Linked DNA regions of Solanum lycopersicum. The main gene of each other region encodes a partner of the protein of the gene in region 2 in a complex. Links are inferred from orthologs where the notes say so. Each region holds a gene or a part of one and is shown on either strand. Other genes may lie near its edges.

Region 1 (4,587 bases), on a different chromosome or scaffold from region 2:
TGAAATTTATAATAATTTTGGTAAATTTTTTTCTTCTCATTAAATTTTATGATTCCCTATTGATCACTTCACCCTTCTTTTTAACTTACTTTTTCTCTTTTCACTATTCATCCACTAAATTTGTTTCATATAAATACACACATATACCATCTTTGCATTTCTCAAGCCAAGCTAAGTTTTATTTTTCTTATTTTCTTTGTTCTAAAAGTTTAATATTCGTTTCGCTCGCAAAAAATTTAATAAATTTTTCTATCGAAAAAATAAAATATTAGACATTTCATCTTCGAAAATAAAATAAAAATGCGAACAGTAAGTACCTTTACTACTGCTTCTCCATCAGTCTCTCCATCGGCGATTGTTCAAAAATCGCCATGGCATTCGCCGGCGCCGTATCTATTCGCCGGCGTAGCGTCCATGCTAGTGTTAATAACTTTTGCTTTAGTAATCCTAGCTTGTTCTTACTGGAGACGATCCGGCTATCCGAGAGAAAACGGCGATGTAGAATCCGGCGACGGCGAGAAATCGACCGGTGATGTTTTCAAGGCGTCGCCGGTTTTTGAGGAGAAAATAGTTGTGATAATGGCTGGAGATTTGAATCCAACTTTTTTGGCTACGCCTATTTCGAGTAGAGGTAATTCGTTTGGTGCTGGTGATAAAATTGAGAAGAAATTGGAAAAGGAAACTGAAGAATTTGATGATGAGAAGGCGAAAGATGAAGCTATGGATCAAGCTCATGAAGAATCTCAAATCGGCCATTGATGAAGCTACTGAGCTTTGAAAAAAAAAAAACAGAGCAATTTTCTCTATTTTTTTTTTTGAGTTCTTCCATTTTTGGTTTAATTTTTCAATTTTGAGATTCGGGAAATTGTACTCAATTTTGGTTGAGATAACAAAGAGTTAGAAAAAATTTTCGTTTTCGAGTAATATGTTTTCACGGAAATTGTTACTTCGATTTGATACGTGTTTTATTAGCTAACGATAATCATAAGAGTCATTTTGCTAAAAAATAAATAGATCGTTTTTAAATTTTTCAATGAAAAAAGTAAAATTGATGATATATTTTTAATATAATGAATGAAAAGAGTAGAATCAATTATATATCGATTTAGAAAATGAATTATTTGAAGAATCTCGAATGTATGTGCATATGTGACGTTTGCGATTTTATATCTATTGTGATTTACTAATTATATTTGATAATTTATAGTAATTAAATATGATTTAAAAATCATGCTTATTCATGCAATTTATAGGTCGTATCTATCGAATATGATATATAGTTAATCTATAAATTGAGTTACTATTAATATGTAATTTATAAATTATATTTATCTAATATAACTTTCAAATGATGCAAATCAAATGTGATATTAGTCATATTTGTGAAACATGATTTATAATCGTGCTTACCAAATCATTCAAGTACCAATTAAGTTACTCAATTGTATTGTAATTAAATTAGTTATCAAATAATATCCAAATTGTTTACTCAATAATAATATAATTCATTTTAATCTTCTATGATAGAGAAGAATAAAATGGCTAACATAAGTGATTATGAGTGTGTGTATATATATATATATATATACTTCAATGTAAATTTTAATTGCGTTTGGTTTGATAGAGAATAAAATAATTTAATTATATTTTTATTTTATAATTTTTTTAAATGTTATGAACTATCAAATTTAAAAAATAAAATAAAATATAATTTTTTTTTTTACGAAATATTATCGTTAGCTAGGTAAATATATATGCCCCTCTTCGCGAACGAATTTCACATAACAAAAATACAATTCTCCTCTATCTTAGGCCTTTTCTCATTTTTTTTCTTTTTTGCACAATTGTGGAGAAACAATTTTGAATTTTAAAAAATAATCAAAATTATAATATTTCTATATCCTAGAAGGAAAATAATATTACTTTTTCAATATGTGAGTTTAAAAATAATTTTTATATATATTTTTAAATATTTTAAATTATCGTAACCATAGTAATTTTACTTACCTATTACTAGAATATTTTTCTTCAGTTTCTTCTTCCGATTTTTTTCTCAAAGTAAAAAGGCACAAATCTTCCCCAATTTTCCTCCGGCGAAATTGAAACTCCGACCACCGCCGATCCTCCGTTGACTCTGTTTCGACGGTGAAGATGAACCAAAGTCAAGGTCAACAAACAAGTGAAGGAAGACACGAGGATGATGCTGTTCTAGCCGATTTCCTTGCTTCCTTGATGGACTATACTCCCACTGTGAGCTACTTTTTGCCCTTTTTCTTACTGAAGAGATCAATTTTATGTTTTATTTATGTAGGTTAACGCTTTTGATCAGATTCCTGATGAATTGGTGGAGCATTACTTGGGTAAAAGTGGATTTCAATGTCCTGATGTTCGATTGTATGTATTTTCTTCCCATTCTTATGTTGATGTTTCTGCAATTTAGCCTGCTTAGATTAGTTATAGAAAAATTGTTTGGATTGCTCATAAGGAAGATATGATTTTCGTGTGTTTATCTAGAACTATTTTCACTAGGTTTATCCTCTGTCTTGAGCTAACCGTAGTCTTTAAACTCGAATACGATGAACGCGCTCCTCAACCTACGTTTATTTTGCTTGGCGTAGCGAAAGCTCTACACTTTTGCCAAGTGAGCTAAGCCCTGGGGGTTCAAAGGGAGATATTATGTTACTGCAGCAAACAAATAAATTGGGCAAAGGTGCCCATATAATGATGTAAAATCCAGCTTGGGAGGATGTCCTCCCAAGATATTTCCTTCAACGAAGTAATAGAAAACTTAGCTGAATTATGTGCTAGTTTTGTTTAGACTTCTCGGAATATGAACAAAGTCTACATGATCAAGCAAGCTCTTAGCTTCCAAATGTCTTCACAAGTCACCTCTATCTCCCATGAGGTAGTTAACTTTTTCCTGAATCATAATCAATAACACTCTTTGCTTCCAATAGGATTCTCACATCCTTCCAATTGTTCCTGATTGTACGTTCAAGAGCCACTCTTAAAGCAAGTGCTTCAACAGTCATAGCTTTTCCCGCAAACTGGATTGGGGAAACATGGGCATGAATCAGTTTTCCAAGGCTTTCCAGAGCTGCAACACCAATATTTGCCAGTCCAGTATCCACCTGTAAACCTGCATCAGTAAACAATAATATAACATCTTGGTGGGTTGTTGGTGGAGCCGCAAGGCAATACCCATTTTTATGAAAATTAGATGAGCAATTAGCTGAATATCTTTATACTCGTAGCAATCAAACAGTGACTAAGCGGCAGTATTCTCTAGTTCCGTTTTTGTTTTGATCGTTTTCTATTTATCTGGTTTAGCAGTAAATTCAAGTAAAATTTATATATCTGTGAATTGGATTGGTATTTACCTTTTTACAAGTTGTAAATTTTAATATTGTAGCATTTGATGTTTTGTTTGACAGTGATGGCTGGTTTATCTTATGTTATCAGTTTTTAATACTGTGTTGTTGTATTGAGTTTTTCCTTTGGATATGCAGAATAAGGTTGGTGGCAGTTGCTACTCAGAAGTTTATTGCAGATGTGGCTACTGATGCTCTCCAGTATGTTTCTTAATTATTTTATTTTTCTTGAATTCTGTTTCCTCCTCCATCTTATGTTAAGTATGCTGCTAATTCTTCGGCATATTGCTCATCGATTGTCCCCTACTCTTGAGGCTTCAATGCAATTGTTGCCTGTCTAGGTGTTTGTCATTGTATGATCCTTCCAACTTTTAAGTGTTCAAGTTGTTCTCCTCCCCCAAACCTTAAAAAAACTCTTTTTGGTTCGTCTCTAATGAATTAGAAACATTAAGTTGGTAATTTTAGAATCCAAGCCTGTTATATTTTTAAAGACTGCCGACCCTAACTTGACTACACTACCAAAAATACAACACCTGAAATTCTCTATTGTTAGCGCAATAATACTACTACCTCAGGAGATTATTGTGTCTGTGACACTCCAAAACCTTAGAAAAGAGACAAAGAAACAGAAAAATACAATATAAAGAAACTAAGATATGACTTGAGTAGACATGTAGAAAGACCTTGTTTCAGAATATATGATTACAAATAACAAAGCATCCAACTTTCTCTGAACTTCCTTTCTTAATGTTTCCAATGGATTGTTATTTTCCTAATGCTTCTACTGGATTGTGGTAGATCTTCTCAACTGTGACAAATCAGTTGTGTTTTGTTTCGTTATCGACTCAAGATTTTGTGAATGCCTCACTTTACTCACTATTTTGCCTTCACTAGTCGTAATGAAAGTAAAACTCATGAAATGCTGTGAGTCTTTTGAGGATAGATTATGGCTTTATCATCGGAAGAAAGAATAAGAGTTTATGAATGGTCTCTTATGTATCCTTCATGTTTAGAAAGAAATGGATATTTATGAAACGGGCCATTCCAATAGAGAAACAACATAATGCCAGTGGTTGAAAGCAGGCAGGTCGATGAAAGTTAGGATATATCAGGAGCAAGGGGTATCTCCATTGGTATTCTGTGTAGAGACTAGAAATATGGTTGAGACAACAAGATGGCAGTGGTTGAAGGAAGGAAAGTTGATGACTTGTGGGTA
Region 2 (2,945 bases):
TTGTGAATATGTGAGGATCTTGTGCAAGCCTTAGGGCCATTGAGATATTTGCTTTTCCAGTCTGATCATTTATTGTGCATAATTTATTTTTTGTCGTGACTCTTGTGTGTTGTCGATGCAGTTGCTGACCAACATCACAGGAAGTGCAAAGATATCTATTCCTATGACAATTGTGGTGTCTGGGATAGCAAAAATGTTTGTCGGTGAGCTTATTGAAACAGGTAAATAGACAGATCCACTTGTTATAGAGATAATTGATGAAGCAAACGTTTATCCTTTATTTGGGAATAGCAAGGATGACTTGTCGTTGGAATGATCTTATTTTCGTTCTATTCTTAGACACTAGTGCACAGCTCCAAAATATTTGCCAAACTATAATCAGTTTCTGACCAATTTGCAACAATGAGGCATTAAAAGCCCAAGACCAGTAATATTATCCGTTACTGAGCATGTTGGTTAACATTCATTTGGAACACTTTACCCCTTTAAAGTAACAAAAGAGTGGCTCTAAAATGTCTTCTATGTACTCACACATCGTACCTATGCTAAGTAAGCACCCGCCAATGTGTCTGAAATTGCATTTGACGTGTCTGACTGGTTAAGGATGTTTGGCACTATAACTAGGGAAAACATAGGACTTTTTAGCAAGAACAATAAAATGACTCTCCTGCCTCAGTGTTGGCCCAGGCACTGCCCTCCTTTGTTCCTAGTGGTCTCTGTTACCCTCTACCTGTAAAAGCTCACTGTCACATTGTTTCTCTGCTTTTCCTTTCCCTTCTTCAAAAGATCGATAGAATCAACTGAATATTTCGTAAACCTAGGTGAACACGTTTAACCAATTTCCAGTCTAATTATGCAGTAAAGAGTTGCCAATCTTTAGTGTTTCAAGGTGGAAGTGTCCTCAGTTAAATAAAGTTGAAGGGCTATACTGCATTGATTTTCTCCAAGTAATGGTGCTCACTCATCTTACAATACCTTTTGCAGCTAAAATGGTGATGGCAGAGAGAAAAGATACTGGCCCAATCAGGCCATGCCACATAAGAGAAGCATATAGAAGGTTAAAACTTGAAGGCAAGATTCCAAAAAAATCAGTGCCAAGGCTTTTCCGGTAGTGAACGTGGAAGCAACCTGTAGTTATATTTCAGGTTCATTGTCTTCCTATTGCTTACAAGTCCTCTAATGTGTCTATGTTGAATTGTCGCAAATCCTTAATTATCTTGCACTTCCAGGTCAAGTAAACATTGCTAGTCACAAAGTTGTCGAGTTAGGACACTTTTGCATTGCCTATTATATATGGGGTTAATCTGTTAATTAAATTACTTAATTAGAGGGAAGGAGTTTAACATTTGTGAAAATATTTGTACTGCCCGTAACCTGGAACTGAAAATGATGGAAGGAGAACACTAAGATTGCAACATCTTGGCTAAAATAACAGCATCATTGTATTTTTGGGCAAATCATCATTGTGACCATGGTCGAGTTTGTTGACCATGTTGTGAATTTCTCAATGCACTTGGATGAAAGAGAAAATTGGAGTGACGGGACAACAATGCTTCTTCACCATGTTGTGTGGAGGAGGCATCACAACGGTCCTAAACTTTATCAAGTAGAAAAGAAACCAAAAGATAATTCAGATCAGTTTGATTGTTCTTCTCTTTAATTCTAACTGTGGACGTTGTCGTTCATTTTCAAAATCATTTGTTCACGCTCTTAAGTTTTTACAATGTTTCTCATCCCTTGTTCTCCATTCTCTCAGATTTGTAGTAGTCAGCCACTTTCCTCGCAGAAAGGCGTAAGGATGAACTTGTAAATCTTGGACGAAAAGATTCATGAGGTGTACCTTTACAAGGTGAGGCTTTAGCTTCTCTTTGAAATGTTGGGGTTCCATTAAAGAAGTAAATTTCGAGGGGCATCAGCCATGGTGGGAAGAGAGCTCTCACCTTGACGAAAGGATTGGCAGGACGAAGATCCTGAACAAATTGTTTCTTAACTGTGTAGTTTTTGGTGTTGGTACATTGAGTTTCAGCTGTTGCCATCATTTTTCCCTTTTTCCAGAAGGGCATACTTAGGATACATGAAATTATGAAAATAGTAGAAAATGTTTGGAAAAAACAGATCGAGTTAAGTGGCATTCCAAGTTTATTGTCTCTTTTCCACCTACTTAATTCCCCCGACCCGTTCCGGATCATCCCAAACCCCGTTACCCCGAACCCCCACTTTCCAACCCCCTTTCGTTTTGTTAGATATCATATAAATAGTATTGGAATAATGTTTTCCTGCTTAACTTACCAAACATAAGAAAATAAATAAGAAATCTACTTGATTGCTGAGAAAACATTTTTTAGAAAATCATTTTCGGCTAAAAATATTTTCCTTTCCTACCAAACACACTTGGATATTGAAAAAATCAATCATTTGTTAAGTGTATACATTAAAAGGATAATAGTATAAAATGACAAACTAATAACGTAAAATAAATATAGTAGCTACCGTTTGATTTATTTGTATTCCATAGCAAACGGTTTGTCAGTCGCCTCTCTCCCTCATATTCTCGCTCGCCACTCTACCTCTATTGTTCGCTCCCAGTCGCTCGCCGCTCTCGCTTTATACAATAGAGCGAAAATTGTATAAAGCGAGAGAAAATTGTATATATACATACAAATACATATATCTTCATCCTATAAACTTATAATTATACAATGCAAATATTTTTCTGCCCAATTTTCTATTGTCTTATTCTCTTTCTTGTTTTATACATACACAAATTATACAATTGATTTGTTTAATTTTTTGCATTTGTATAAGGATACTTTTGTATAATGTTCATTTAGACATATACTATAGCACAAACTTATACACATACATAAATTGAAGTATGTTTGTATAATGTATATATATTGAATCATACATCCAAACTAAGGACGAATATAAGTATACATGTTTTC

Evidence for each region.
Region 1: transcription initiation factor TFIID subunit 11 (region 2) and transcription initiation factor TFIID subunit 10 share a complex: the UniProt entries of both Arabidopsis thaliana proteins name them as parts of the TFIID complex. The link is inferred for Solanum lycopersicum from reciprocal best matches to the Arabidopsis thaliana genes TAF11 and TAFII15.

What each region holds. Positions count from the first base shown.
Region 1 is NC_090811.1:67,585,583-67,590,169, reverse strand, and holds the start of transcription initiation factor TFIID subunit 10, read left to right. Parts: upstream 1-1,779; 5' UTR 1,780-2,151; coding exon 2,152-2,250; intron 2,251-2,329; coding exon 2,330-2,394; intron 2,395-3,509; coding exon 3,510-3,572; intron 3,573-4,587. Other genes in the region: protein GLUTAMINE DUMPER 2, read left to right, coding at 301-759. UniProt on the Arabidopsis thaliana protein: TAFs are components of the transcription factor IID (TFIID) complex that is essential for mediating regulation of RNA polymerase transcription.
Region 2 is NC_090804.1:5,055,696-5,058,640, reverse strand, and holds the end of transcription initiation factor TFIID subunit 11, read left to right. Parts: intron 1-121; coding exon 122-221; intron 222-984; coding exon 985-1,112; 3' UTR 1,113-1,145; exon of another isoform or gene 1,146-1,474; intron 1,475-1,756; 3' UTR 1,757-2,335; downstream 2,336-2,945. UniProt on the Arabidopsis thaliana protein: TAFs are components of the transcription factor IID (TFIID) complex that is essential for mediating regulation of RNA polymerase transcription.